Linked DNA regions of Oreochromis niloticus. The protein of the gene in region 1 purifies or fractionates together with the protein of each later gene. This does not show direct contact. Links are inferred from orthologs where the notes say so. Each region holds a gene or a part of one and is shown on either strand. Other genes may lie near its edges.

Region 1 (7,899 bases):
ACGCTGTAGGCGCTGGAAATACTGCACATGTTAAAAAACATGAAAGCTCATTTTGGCAATGAATGGCAAGTTTCCATTACCTTTACTTCCAATTAGTAACGATAAGCCAGATGAGAGTCAAATGTCTGAACTTTTCATTTAAAAACACTTGAGTAAGAAAGAAGCTAATGTACAATTCTGACTTAATGACAGTAGTTAAGCTACTAAAAACTGGTGAGAAAAGCCAGGACACTGGCTAATTCTAGCATGACGCTAAACAAGTTAAAGAGCGACTTGGAAAGCAAACAAGCCGTCTGTATGATGCTTGTGCCGCTCCATATGAGTGCTGGATCTAATCCAGAAGAGTGTTTGCTGTAAACGTGTCTAATAAAGTGTCAAGTTATAAGCCAGGTCCAGATGTCACAAATGCATGCTCTATCAAAAGTACTCAAGGTCAGATTAAGTGAAACAGAGGCTACTTCATGCTAATAGATATTTTAGCTCGCCAACTGGTAAGAGGAAAAAAGAAAAATCTTGAATGTTGAGAGGGAGTTGTGTGTTTTTAATAGCAAAGACGTGAAGAGGCATAATGACATAATCATACTCCACTGCATTTAAAACTTGTTCTTGTTTGGTTTTGACCCCATGACAGCAGAGGGTAACTGGTCTGATTACTGTCTCTGTGAGTCAGGGCACATAAAGCTGTGCTGAGTGACGCTCTGATGACCTCGCTGATCTGTTTAAAGAATGAGTCATGGCTTACTGTGGTATTACGCACCTAATGCACCAGCTTAAAACTAAAGAAATGTAAGCGTGTTTGAGCAAAGCTTTGTATGCAAGTGAACACAGACAGTTATTCTAATAAAAGCGAGGAATAAAAGTTTGTTTGTAATGCAAGCCTGCCTCACTTACAGGCAGCTAAGGTAAATAAAAGCCCTGATCACTAAAAAAAATAAGTAAGGAACTTTTTAGGTTATTGAAAACTCAGTCTTCAGTTTTACCAGGACCTCATTTATTCAAGCATTAGTGACGCTGTTATTATTGTCATCTGCCTGTATCACAGTGAGGCCTGTGACCACTACACACTACCTGTTTTTAACAGGTATTCACACCCATTCTGCTTCTGCTATCACAAGGCAAAAACATCTCAAAACAAAGGTGAATACAAGGAACTGCACCTTGGGATCATCTCCAAACTGTGCAAACTGCACATCATTCAGGAGGCTGCGGGCAGTTTTAATGATATCTTTGCACTTCTTTGGGGTTTCCTCTACTTTACCAGCCAAGAAAAGACAACAAGCTCCCGTCACCTGTCGAGACACATATCACACCATTACTTCACCATTACAAACATCAGGTCTGCTTCCAGGAGTGAAACAATCAGGGACCATTAGATTTACTTACATATCTGGGAAACTGCTTGAAGGAGTGAAACATGTAGAAGCGGTGGAAATATATGATGCCCGTTGCCAGTGTGTCGTAGTGTCTAAATGCAGGTCAAGGACTCACAAAGACTAATAATGGTCATTTGCAAAATATCAGCTTTAACGTGTGACTCTTTAAATTAAAAAGAAAAAAGTTTTTTTCTTTTAATAATGATTCCACAAACATCATTATATATATAAGTATATCAGACAAACCCTGTAAAAATGTTCACATTCACATCAAAGTAGGTTCTGTGAGAAAGGACAAGACAGCCATAAAAGACGTTTTCAGATGTACTGCTTTTTAAAAGTCTGTTTATCTTTAACTATAAAACTGAAGCATGTGGCACTGATTAATCGTGTGACCCTTTCTCTTGTAGCTGTAGCAATAAATCTATCATCTAAATCAAGGATACAGGCCAAGTCGGGTCCCCACGTCGAATATGAAGCGAGCCCCTTCTCTGCGATACCGGGCCTCTGTGCCAGGGTCCAGACCCTCAGACTGAGAGGGCGTGTGGGCTAAATCCTTCTTGTCCCAGTACCAGCATGGTTTTATATGGTCCAAGATTGCCTGGCCCGTCATTGACGAATTTTCCTTGGATTCCTTCATTGATTGAGGAGAGGCGGTGGATGGACCCGCTGTGCTGGACTGCGGAGATAAAAATAAAAAGGATCATCACTAAGGGCAGCAAAGCATTAAACAGCATAGCTTACACAAGTAAATATTTACGTTCAGGCAAAGAGTACCACAAATCTGCCTATAACCTGGCCACGAGTTTACGTCCACTCGCTATTTTGTGTAGGCCATAGCGTAGTTTTATACACACACTCAGGCTTATAAACAGTGTAATTAGCTTGTAGTCCACAGTGTGAAACGCTAAAGAGCAGCAAACATTTCTGAGCTGCATTGTGCTCCAAGTCCAGGCTCGTTGTAAATAAATAGATGAGTAAAATGGATTCAGACAGCAACATAATATATCTATAATTTCCATGCATGTGTAAATCTCGTCTCCCAGTGTGCCTACAGCAGCACAGCAGAATCAACAGCCTAATGTAGACACAGCGAAAATGCTTTGCAACGAACCCGCTACTGCTGGCACTGTTAGCTGTGATGGTAACTTAGCTTCGTAAAACTAAAAAAGCAGCAAGGGGCGGAGATTAGGATAACATGAGCCACACACTCGAAGTGGCTTAAACGCGCCGATAGGCTAACATTTATGAAACTCTCCAACTGAAGGCAACCAACGCTGTCACATCGACAGGGCCACTCTGCACCAGCCTCGGCTAGCTAAACCTCGGCTAGCAAACTTGCTCAACTCGGTGTTAACGCCGAAGCTTCCGACATGTCACAAGTAGTTCAGAATTCAGCCTCTTCATCTCCCTCCCGCTTCCAACGAGACACAACTCTTACCTTTAACATGTAGACGTCCGAATAAATCGCCTAAATCAGACAGTTGTAGCAATAATCCACAGTTGATCACAATAAGTTGGCTAACAAGTGAACAACAGACCCCATTGTAACAAGGGCACCACCATTTTGCGGTACGTCAGACCATTGGAAGACGTCATCACGCAGGCACTCATGTACACGTGCTCTCGGGTCACATTTTTCTTTCCATTTCCGCTGCTACATTAATTTCATTCGTGTTTTAAGTCTAACTAGCGCTGCTGGAAACAGCCCGCCTTTCCTGAAAACATTTTAAATTCTTATATTCTTGATAATAATCTAAAGGATGATATTCCCAATAATATCCACTAGAGGGAGACACAGATTCACTCTTGGACCTTGGCGGTCAGCATTGACTTAGCATTGACCAAATAGTTTACATGTGCAAATTACAAGCAAGCAAGCAAATATTATTTACATTGTGCTGAATAGTCACCGGTTATTTTCACACCTGGTGAGTCCTGCAGCAGGTAACACCCAAACATAGAAATATGCTCCTTACAAGAAATATCACTGGATGTAGCAGTAGCAGGATGTAAAAGGAACCCAATCAAACAAGTATGAGTTGTGACCAGTATAAATGTGAATCTGCAGGTAAGTTAAAAATTAAATTAAAAAGAAAAAATGACAAGGTTAAACACGTATAATACATAAACTGAAGCAGATTTTCCTTTGTCGTTTGATACCTATAGATTTTTATACTCCTGTATATGTTACAAACAGACTGCTGATGCACAACTGGATCTAAGAGTAGATGAGTTTTGCTGGTATTTGCCTGAGAGTGCACATACTAAAGAACACTGGGTCCAAATCTACTCTGTCTGACTCCCTAAAATAAACATTGCTGGTTTATTTTACTGATTAAACACAAGCAAATCCCTCATTTTTTAACTCAGTGCCGGCGTTATCTTCTATATTACTCGTGAGTTATTTATATCTAATCAAACAACACGTACACGTTTAAAATTTACCTTAAATGTTGGTTTTGAGCTGTATGCACAGAATGACGATGATATTAATTAATACGCAAAACAATATATGCACATGAGATTCAAACTGCAAATAATTATCATGTATTATCTGTCACGATGGCATCTGAGTTCAAACATGAAGGTTGTGAGACAGGACAGATTATGAAAGTTTACCACCTCACCCTGCTGCAAAGGAGAAGGTGAGAAAAGGGACTGATTAGGACAAAAAAAGAAGTTGTTTGTGGTGTTTATTGGTAATGGAAACTTGCTATCATATTAACCAAAAAGGAATTTTAAGCAGGAAAATGAAAATATTAGAAAAGTAATTTTCCTTTAGGCTCCTGTTGTTGACATGTGAAAGGTGCAGCATCATCTGTACTTGTTTAAATGTCACTGCATAAGAGCGGGGTTTGCAAGTAACATCTTGTGCCCTCTGCATCCCCCTCCCGCCCAGTCTCACTTCTGAGAAAAGCCAGCATTGAATCATTTACTCCGTCCAAATTAAAATTTGGAATCTGCATGCATTATATATTCACCCCTGCTCGGACAAATCCTCTTAACTGTGGGAGAAATTGTCAGGATGTGTCCTGTAGAAAAGTAAGAGCCTTGTCTAGTTGTATTGCCTGTAGCAAGGGAGCATCTCAATCTGTCACTCAAATCCACACACACACACACACACACACACACACACACACACCAGCCACCGTAAATCAGCTTATGAATAATATATACTTATACTTTCTTTATTAATATTAAACATTGCATAATGAAGCGCCGACTATAAGCAAATCCCAGAGCAATATTCATATTACCCCAGCTCTCCTGGAGTGGACCTTTCATTGTTTATGTCAGCTCTGTCACGCTGTGGTTAAACGCATTGAAGACTGTCTCGAAAGGTCTGCACACTTAACCCTAAAAACTGTATAAAGTGCAGTTTCCGTCATGTACATTAGTCTATTTTAGGATACTGTATTAATGTCTTTGTTGTATTCTTTAGAGAGTAAATAAATGGGAGGGACATGAAAAATGGAAGATGTAAGGGATGCAATGATGGAGGTGACCCAGAATCAAAGCCGGGTGAGCCGCGTGTCCACTCAAATGCAAAAGCTCCTAATTTTTTTAAAAACTTTGTCACCGGGCTCATTATTTTAACTGTAAGTTACAAACGAGGCAGATCTTTCTAAATTCAGTAGATTCTGGAAAAAGCGATTGCATGTCAGCACCGTGGCCCCTTGTAAGTTGGACAAAACTTTCACATCTTGCTTGGATGTTGCCCCGTGGTGTGTTCAGGTACCTCCTCTTGAGCGACCACACTTAGCATGAGAGATGCATGTCTCCTTGGAGGCAACATTTGGACTTAAAACCTTTCCTGTGTCCACAAGCGGGGTATTTGTGCTATGTTGGCCCCATGCAACCCAGCTTTAAACTGCCTTTGCCCAGAGCCTGCAGTTACAAGCTATAATGGAGACATTGATGTATTATTGAGAAACCCATGGGTAAGGATCAAGGAGCTGCTCGCAGCCGGCAGGGATGGCAAGAGAGCGAGCGAGAGAGAGAGCGTGTGTGAACTCAGGATAATGTTTTCCTTCAGCATTCAATATGTCCACGACTGCTGTTGCTCTCTTGGCCCGACGCGGAGTCGAAGACTCTCCGTGTAATATCACATATCGAATTTATGCGCTCCAGTCAAAGCAATATGCTCGACAACATGCTTGGCCTATCTGTGAAAGATAGCTGTTGTGCCGTAGTGTTTCCATGTGGCGTCTGCTGAGGTTACGTCTACTTGAGCCAGAGCTGAGATGACATTTCATTTATATAAATAATTACTGTCCTGAAAGTCCCCTAGGCCTGCCCCGAAGCAATCAAACTTCTAATGCTCTTAAAATTGCCCACCATGTTTTATTAATGGCGGGCTGTAAAATGTATTGCTGTGGCTGCACACTTCTCTGCTGATCTACGAGGAAACAGTGTCAACTTTAAACGGCCGTGTGAGGCTATTATTTTTATTCAACAATGTATTTCAAGCAAATTACGGCACGGCACCAGTTTGGACTGTATGGTGTGGTGGCGTTAGGGCTGTACTAACCTGTATCTCAATGCAGACCTGTACGTGTGCAATTACCTTCCCTTAGTGCTATTAATTGCCTCTTAGTGAACCCGATCTGCTTTTCCAAGGACTCTCTCTCAGACGCTGAACTGTGTAAATGGCAAATTAAGGAGGCTTCATTCTAAAAATAGGGATGGAGTTTAGTAATGCTGCATTAAGGTATCACTGCCTAAACAGGTTCTCCAGACTGTGCCAACAGAGGGTACTGTTGCCTCACAACATATTTAAATGATCCCCAACAACAAAGCTACAGCATGGGTTTTCCACCCTCTGACTCAAATGTGAGTAAGTACTGCATGTATGATGCCATGTGTCCTGTGCAGTGCTTCAGCGTTTACATAGTCGACAAACAGCAACACAAAGGATTGTCTAAATTAAAGGTGACCCTTCATCCAAGTTTGACTTGGACCTGATCTAGGTGTTTGCTGTTCTTGTTTTAAGATCATTTCCATCTGGCGTGCCTGGGAGACTTCTGTAAGCAATGATGAGGGGTGGTGGTGGTGGTTCTAAATAGGTAAAAGGTGAAATGATCAGATTGTTTTACTTCATAGTATTTGTGATAGAATTACCAAAAAGAAAAAATCAAGTGAAGGTGAATTTTGGCTGCTAACTTGACACTGCTTCCAATAGCCAGACGTGAGCGTGCCTGTGAAGTAGCCACTGCTGAGTGATGTTTGCGTCTGAAGCTCGTGGTGGAGCTCTGGGGAGCCACTGCTGGTTGCCCCCCGCAAATTGTCTCTGTGTTGTCTGCCGTTCACACCTCTGTAGTGGCTGATGTCTTGGACGCACTTAAACTTGAATGAGGCAACACCAACCACACACACAAACACACACACATGCGGGGTCGCCCCAAACAGGGCATGTTTCGTCGTGTGAGCTGCAAAGACGGCTCAATAGGAGACACTGGAGCTTGTTGGAAGGAGGGGAGGGAGGTGTCTCTTGTCCGTCTGCCCGCCTGCGCTCTCTCTCTCTCTCTCTCTGTCGCTTTCTCTCCCTCTCTCAATCAACGCGGCTACTGCCACGAGAGCCAAGAGTTGCCGTTTCTGCGCACCGATGCCAAAACGCGCGAGGGGAGTCAGTGCCAAAGGGTCATTGTAGCGCGCCACTGCTGAGATGGAAGGACTGTAGGGAATCCTAAACTAAAGAGCCACCATTTGAACCCAGATGATATAATTATATCATTAAAATTAAAGAAAAGGGAGAGGAGTTAAATAGGTGACAACATCCATCACTGGTGGAGTGCTCCGTAGGCTACTTAATCTGTCACCGCGGTCGCTGCAGAAGCGGACAGTCCAGGATTTTTTTCCCTTTCCTTTTCCTTTTTGGTTAATCTGCAAAAGGTCACTTTACCGGCGCACTCATTAGCTCATCGGTCGTCTGCAGACGCTTCCTTGCTAAAACTACACTTTTTTGGCGTCCTTAATCCAAGTGTTGCTTCCTCCGAGGCGCAGCAGGACACCGTGGACTGAGCGGTCCTCCATCCTTATCGCGCTGCTGTCCGACTGGTGATCTTTCCAAAAACAAAAAGAAAAGAAAAGAAAAAAAGACGAATCAAAGTTCCAGCTAAAGACTGTGAAAAGCAGCAGGGGAATACAAAAGGGAGCGGGAAGTCGGGGACCCGTGATCCAGAGAGGACCGACACCACGGTCCAAGCCGACTCCAAGTGCCGTTCACCGGGCGATGCCAGAGTAGATGCCGGGGCAATGTCCCGCCGCAAGCAGGTGAACCCGCAGCACTTATCGTTGACGCACAGGGAGACAATACAAGGTGAGGTTAATATCTTTACACGCTCATCACTTCCTTTATCGTAACATTTACTGCTTTGCAATTTTGTCGATATTATTATTTAGCCCGATTCGGACTTTCGGGCCAATATAAATAAATAAACAACTAAAATGATTAATAACGCACTTTTCTTTTAGTAAAACACGAAGACAGCACGTTTTTTTCAGTGATTGCAAAAAATGCGCC
Region 2 (7,731 bases), on another chromosome or scaffold:
CAGCTGTTCACCGTTAAAAATAAATAAAACCACACACAAATCCCACGCTAGCTGGGGATTAAACAACATCAAATGCTCGGGCTATACAGGCCAATGTCAGTGGCCGCATACATTTGTTTGTATACAAGTTCGCACCAAAATATTCAGCTACGCTTGCGCGGCTGCGACACAAAGTTTATGGTAATAGCCTTGCATTGGAAAAAAAAAAAAAACGAACAACAACGACACTGTAGGTAGACAGCGTACATATGGGCATTTTTAGACGAGTATAGGTTATGATGTGTGTTGCACTGTTGTAGCTCGGCACTATTTTCAGATATTTTGTGCTAACACCGGGTGCAGGTAGCAGACTGAGGCCACCACCGCCGCAGCGGCTATAGATATAGCATACATAACAAGGTCTCAAAAGAGAGAAGGGGGAAACTTAACAATCCTGCCTATAAGGATAATTTTAAGCAGCTTCTTTTCAAAGTGAAACACCTAAATCCTCAACTTCTGCTCATTATGTTGACGTGTGCCGAAGCTTTCCTCGGCGTGCTCTGTGTAGCCTCATTGTCTTTGTTTTGACGGCGCAAAGGGAAACGAGGACAACGTTTAAAGAGCACTCAAAATGCCTTGAAAGTGGCTGCGAGCAGCACGTCGGCTTTAGTGGAAAATACCGACGTGCGTCCTCACCACGCCAGGCCTATATGTTGTTTGAATAACACAACAGTGTTTGACCTAATCCCAAACACCGACTGCGGAAGCTGCATCAATAGCCTCCCCATAAGCGCAGTTTTATAATAATTATAGCAACAGTCAACACGCAGGCCCGCATCCTAGCGGTTATATCGGCTATTTTAAATGTGTTTCAGTGACTGTCAGTTGATGGAAATAATTAACTCACCTCAAACCGGCTCCGCGAAACACCATTTACCTCCTTCCCCATGTCGGACGCTGGTAAACCGACTCAATGGATTCGGTGTAGGCGCAGTAAAATGCAGATACGGGCCCTCTCCACGATTATCATGCTACCGTCCTCTCGGTAGCTCCGGTGGTTTGATGTATTTTGACCTGTACCACGAACCACAAAACCTCTAGTTACCGATAAAAACAAATCATATGGATTGCGAGCAGCAGCAAGCCAGCCATAAGCCACTTCTCTTATCAGCTCGATTCGCCCTCACCTCCTCCTCCCCCTATAAGCACAGCTTTCTATCCATCCACACAATAGCCCGACAGGAATGGGGCAGACTAAAATTCAACCGGTACAACCCCTACATCCATAATAAATAAATAACATTAATATGAAAAATAATAAATATAATGACCTTGCTCAGTGCGCACTATTTCTCGCTCGCTGGCTGCTCCTTTAACCAAAGCTCACAGAGGAGCAAATATAAATATCAAAGTGGGGTGTCAACCATTTGCCCGCACACGTAGCATGAATACCTATGGGTTTGGGGCCACATGTTATAATTAAAAAGTTAGATCAGATTCAAAGTTCATACGGACTTTGTGAGAAAACACAGGCTAAAAATTATGTTTCTCGTATAGTATGAAACAAAAACATCTGAAGTGAAGTGCATGTCTGATATGAGTTCTGCCACTTGAAGACCTTTCCACTGTATTAAAAACAGTATTAAAACCAGAATAGAACCTGTGAGTTCGGCCTTTTATTAACTATCAGTAACGGCTAACACTCGTTTTTAGGTTATTCTATCTCATCTTCTGTTATTAAACATTCCAACTTTGTTATTGCAATAGGGAAACGCCACTTCCTCGTTTCTCCTCGGGCACACCCCTCTTCAACAGCGTGTCCAATCAGCATCCAAGGACGGCAGCTCGTAATACTGCGTCATCGTAGAGCGTAAAACTAACATGCCAGTCAACACTGAGCATTCAATATATCTATAGCAAAGCCAGTGATAGCTAATATGTTCTCTTAATTTCTAATACGCAAATAGTAGTGTGTGACTGGGGTATGGTGCTCTGTAACTTTAAGAAAACAGTGATTTTCAATTGATCAATTATCTCCTGATGCGCCTTAGGATAAAGAAACACCTTTTAAAATGTGTGTAAACAATATACTCTTTTTGGGTTCTTTTAGTCCCAAAGTTTGAATTTGAAGAGGACCTTTGCATCTTTTGTTCTTTACTCACTGGCCACTTTATTAGATACATCTGTTCAACCGCTCTTTAATGCAGCTATCTAATCAACCAATCGCATGGCAACAACTCAATGTATTTCAGCTTCTAGAAATGGTCAAGTAGATTTGTTGAAGTTCAAATTTATCATCAGAATGGAGAAGAAAAAGTTATTTAAGAGATTTTGAATGTTACTTGGTTGTTGGTGCCAGATAGTCTGGTGTGAGTATTTTAGAAACTGCTGATCTACAGGGATTTTCCCACACAACTGTTTCTAGGGTTTACAGGGAACGGTCCAAAATAAAGAGGAAATATCCAGTGAGCAGCAGTTCTCTGGGTGAAAATGGCTTGTTGATGTCAGAGGTCAGAGGAGAGTGGCGAGACTGCTTCAAGCTGTGTGAAAGGCAACAGCCACTCAAATAACCACTCGTCACAACCAATCTATGCAGAAGAGCAATCATGAATGCACAACACATCAAACCTTGGAAAAACGTTATCTGGTCTGATAAGTCTTGCAACATTTGGATCTTCGGATATTCTGATGGCTGCTTCCAGCACGATAACATGCCATGTTGCAGAGCTCAAATAACTGGTTTCCTTAAATGACAGTGAGTTCACTGTACTCTAACAGCTTCTAGAATCAACAGATCACAATCCAATAGAGCCCCTTTGGGATGTGATGTATAATGGGAGCTTTATATCATGGATGTGCAGCTGACAAATTTGTAGCAACTGTGTGATGCTATGATGTCAATATGGATCAAAATGTTTTCAGGATCTTATTGCATCTGTGCCATGAATAATTAAGGCAGTTCTGAAGGCAAGTGTCTCGGTACTGGCAAAGTGTACCTAATAAAATCAGTTATGAGTGTATATGCAAATGTGTTAATCTACAAAAATACACACCCAGAAAGAGGCATACAGTAGAAGACAATTTTATCCCTAAAGGAATAATCCAAACAAATGTGCTCTCTAGTACTGTTCATTGGACCTCAGTGTTTTAATACTCTTAATATGTGATATGTGGGAGCTACCTGGTTTCCTATTTCAGTTACAAGTAAGGCATTAAATACCTGACTAGGTTTATTCTGTCTAGGTCTTGTATATCAGTGACATAGAGGTGCAGATGATAGTACTGTTTTCTCACAGAAATAAGGTCGGGGTTCAGCCTTTTCCAGGCATTTTCTTGATTTTCTTTGGTCCAAAGACAGATGCTTGTTATGTTAATGGAGTAGTTTTCAAACGGTGTGTTGTTACCAGGGAAAAATGTTGAAGGTTTTCTGAAGGTGGGGCATTAAAAAAACAGTTTGACAACAGAGATGTGAGATAGATAAAGCTCTGAATATTAAGGAAGACTAGAAAAGAAATAGTTAGTTCACATGAATGAAAGTTAAATTCCAAGTATAGGAATGACAAGTAATATAAAATGTGTTTATATACCCAATTTTACTAGTCTTTTAAAGGGTTTGTTTTTGTATTATCACATTATATTAAAAAATTAACACCCAAAACTTGCTCTGTGAAGTACAAACCACAAGCGTATAAATAGGTACCTGCTGTCAAAAAAAAACGATGTGCGACTTTCATGAAAATTAAGGAAGAAAACATTGGGGTTAACTTTAAAGTTTAGCAAGATTTACATGTAAGATAATCGGTAGATTATCCGTAGTAGCAGTTAACGGACTTTAGTTGGATCTAAATGAAGCAGCTAGGGTGCCTTCACACTGGCTGCACCGCAAGCTAAAAAAACCATAATCACTGTTGAAAAATTCTCACATTCATTATTTTATTTTATTTTATTTTTAGATAAAGAACAAAATATTCATTATTCAATCATTTTGAGGAAATATCCCAAAAGCATGCTTTTCCCAAAAAAGCTCTCTCTCGGTCGTACTTTTGCATGACTTTTTGTTTTAACACTCCTCCAGTAGCAGGATATGAACAAGTGCAACAAATAGAGTGAAGAAAGGGAGGTCATCGGGGGACAAAGAGACATCAGAGGGAACAACAACAAGAACTGTGTCTTTGTGTGTGTGTCTGTAGCTTGAAAGAGTTTTATCAGAAAGACATAGAAAAGTTTTGACCCAGAAATGCCTTATTTGTGTGTTTCGTAAAGATCCAGGCCTCAATTTCAACCAGCAGACATGTCAGTGTGTTTTGTTTTGTTTTTGTGTGTGTGTATAAATGCACTTAAATATAGCATTGTCCTTAAAAAATCTGAAAGATCTCTGCTTAATTATCCATTTGATATCATATACTTTTAGTGAAACTGTGCATTGTGATAACTACTTTATTTTTTTCAGTAAGATAAAGTACAGCTCTCTATTTAAAATATACTGTGTACACGTAAACCTGAAAATCCTAAACCACAGATACCCACAGGGAAACTGTCACATGTCAGTCACAGGGCAAGAACATATGCTGTTTTTCTTTCATGGCAGCTTTGGTTCATTCACTGCCTTCCAAGTGACCATTGTCTGATTGTTGTATTGTTTAAGACATGTAGATTTCTATTTATTTTACCAATACGCAGGATGCTGATCCATCTGCTGATCCATCTGCTGATATGTAAAGTACTATTAAGGAGACAAGCCCAAACATAAAGTCATGCTTTGGTGGATTTCTCCTAAACACTTTGCAAGATCTTCTCTTTGCTTTTTTTTTTCCTACTAGAGCATTACTTAAACATGGATTTCTCTGGGATAGCATAATAAAAGACTACTATATTTTGAAAGACGCCCACCTAAGACTGGACCTCATGCTTATCTTGTGAAGCAGAACTTATTAAAAAGACCTTACCATGTAAGTTAATGAACCTTAGTAGTAGGTTAAATATGTTGACGCTTTCAGGACCCAGAGGCAGTTGCCTGCTGCCTGTTGATAATAAGACTTTGCTCTATTATCTTTGCCCCAGTGTCTTCCTTTTCTGTTCCAACAAGCTCAACATTTAACAACCCATCATGAGCCTGACATCTAACATGTGTGTTGTTTTAAATGTGTTATCTGAAACTTGGAAAGTTTTTAAAAACGTACTTTTGCAAATTAGTACATATCTCTTCATTTTACGTCTCTGTCGTGTCGCCATGAGGACGGTGGGCGGGATCTTTGCGCTGATAGGAAGTTGCTCGGATACAGTCAAGATTGGCAGTGCTCCGTCTTCCGGTTCAATCGGCTGTGCGCAGAAGTTGCTAGTTACAGGAGCCATAATGGCGTTTGTAGTCTCCTTGAGCTAGGGCTGTGGATGATATTAAATCCACTAGCATCGCCCTAAATATAGGCCTGGTTGATTTCCAGAGCCATTGATAATAAACTGGAACATCTCCTGCACACGAAAATATTATAATTTCTTATCAATATTGAATTTATAGGGGATAAAACTTACATTAAAGGGAACATGTAAACAGTACCAACCGGGTCAAGTTTTCATTTTGTTGGAGAAACGAGCGTCTTTTAATGAAGGCATTTGCTTGTTTCTGAATGCTAAGACCGTATTCTGTGGAATAAAAACACCTTTACTTAACTTGGCACCGGACAAGGACAGCTTTCACAAAGGGACTTTTTTTCTTTTTTAGGAGTCAGCTCGCTAGCTGCCGAGCTTTAGCTAGCTGTGCTAGCTAAACTGAGACGGAGACGACACCACAATGATCCGATGTTTGGTTGGAGTCTTTTTCATTCGCTGACTAACTGAAAGTACAAACTTCGCAGCACTGGAAAACCAACTTGGCATTTATCTGCTTTGACGAAATATGCTGGCGATCTCAATGGAATGAATTGGCATTGAGGAGAAGTGGACGTAAGCGGCCTGGTGTGTTTATTTTTGTATTTTCTTGTCCTGATTCTGCTTAGTAAGACTTGTTTTGACATTTGGAGTTGCTACTGGTCTCCTGTGAATGAATTGCCTGGATCACCGAGGCCAAGTCGCAGAAGAGGCACCGACGCCGACGTGAGGGATGCCTGGGTCGGACCGACACCATGGGACCAAGAGGAAGCCGGAATCTAGCATCGGTGGTGTGCCACACCAGAACCAGGGCCCGACTCATACCTCTGCGGGAGACATGATGAGCAAGGACGGCAAGGTGCAGTTAAAAACTTCAATGTCCTCCTCTTCTTTAAAACGCAAACGGCATAAATCAACAAAACATAATCGGGAATCCTTGGCGGCACCTGACGATTTTACCCTCGGCGATACGGCGCCTCCTGGTGTCAACACGGTGAAGCCTCTAGTGGAGTACGACGATATTAGCTCCGACTCGGACACCTTCTCGGACCCACCGTCCTCCAGGCCTTTTGAGAGGGGGGGAAATCGACTGGAACCCTCGCCAGACTACGATAGGGATATTGGCGAAGAAGAAGGTAATAGAGAGAGCAGGGGGCACAGACACCCACGAAAAAAGTCCAAGGACACTAACAAAGTTAGAGAATCTGGAAATGGAGAACGTGGGTACAAGAAAAAGAGCAGTAAAGATCGCGAGAAAGTGACTTCTGGAAAGGGCAAGGAGGAGGCCTCGTCAGGCTCCTCATCTAAACGCCAGGTGCCGTCAGAGGGTGACTCCAAACGTGGGGAGCTGATGCTCTCCTCCCAGGCACCGCCTGCAGCCAGTGTAGGTAGCACTACTTCTTCCACATCCTCATCTCGCAGTAAGGAGAGCAGCCGCTCAGGGAAGTCTCGCAAAGACAGGCAACAGCGGAGAGAAGGCCGAGGGGAGGCCAGTCGCAGCTCCTCCCAGAGGAGCCGGACAGATAGAAGCCATCGCAAGTCCTCTAAGAGCCACAAGTCAAGCCCGAAGGGGAAGTCTTCAAGTAGGGGTAGCCCACGGAGAAAGGGCACCAGCTCTGCATTGTCGCCGAGTCCCAGAAGAGGGGCCGGCAGTGAGAGTCCACTGGGCAGTGGGTATGGACATCAGGGGGATGACAGCTACTCTAGACGGAGGGCGGCCCAGCAAAGCCCGAGTCCCTATGGTGATGTGTCTCGTCGTAGCAGGCAGAGATCAGACAGCCCCTACGGCAGCAGACACAGGTCCTCCAGCTTTGAGAGGGACAGCAGCCCTTACTCTAGGAGACGCTCCATGAGCCCCTATGGTAACCGCAGGTCCTCCAGTACGAGCCCCATGTCTCGGTGAGTATATGCTGTAGGTCACCCTTAAAATCTATTGGGAATTATGTTCTAGAGACATTTACTCATTAAGCCACCTTCCATAGAGGTTTTGCATATTTCCAGCACCTTCACTTTGCATGCATTTTAAGTTTGAGGTTAGACAAATATGTTGAACTTGGAGAGGGCTTTTCACTCCAGCTAATCGATCTCTGTATTGAAGTTGAAATTTACCATACATAACAGACAAAAGCTTGAGAGTGAGAAAATTACAGGATGGAGATTGGCAATACGTGTATTTGAAAACAGGGTTTACCTTAAGCTGTCATTTCAATTCAAAAAGAGAAGCTTAGGGCACTACACCCTGGCTCTGTGACCATAAGTATTTGTGTTCATAATTACCTTTGAGCTATAGAGTACATACTTGCCACTGATTTCAGAAAAAGACAGCTGTCTTTAATGAAACCCGGTACTTAGTTTTAGGAGTGCTTCACATTCTTTTATAGAGAAGGT

Evidence for each region. Proteins that work in one complex are often made in the same cells at the same time.
Region 2: the proteins of ccnk (region 1) and cdk12 purify together in Homo sapiens (affinity purification with mass spectrometry; 6 studies listed by BioGRID and IntAct, with this or other methods). This does not show direct contact. The link is inferred for Oreochromis niloticus from reciprocal best matches to the Homo sapiens genes CCNK and CDK12.

The regions. Positions count from the first base shown.
Region 1 is NC_031980.2:2,995,031-3,002,929, forward strand, and holds the start of ccnk (cyclin-K), read right to left. Parts: upstream 3,011-7,899; 5' UTR 2,824-3,010; coding exon 2,816-2,823; coding exon of another isoform or gene 2,815-2,815; intron 2,057-2,814; coding exon 1,820-2,056; intron 1,466-1,819; coding exon 1,384-1,465; intron 1,290-1,383; coding exon 1,158-1,289; intron 1-1,157. Other genes in the region: bcl11bb (B-cell lymphoma/leukemia 11B), read left to right, coding at 7,632-7,695. UniProt on the Homo sapiens protein: Regulatory subunit of cyclin-dependent kinases that mediates activation of target kinases.
Region 2 is NC_031969.2:26,959,142-26,966,872, forward strand, and holds the start of cdk12 (cyclin-dependent kinase 12), read left to right. Parts: upstream 1-4,731; 5' UTR 4,732-6,076; coding exon 6,077-7,242; intron 7,243-7,731. Other genes in the region: fbxl20 (F-box/LRR-repeat protein 20), read right to left, coding at 887-928. UniProt on the Homo sapiens protein: Cyclin-dependent kinase that phosphorylates the C-terminal domain (CTD) of the large subunit of RNA polymerase II (POLR2A), thereby acting as a key regulator of transcription elongation.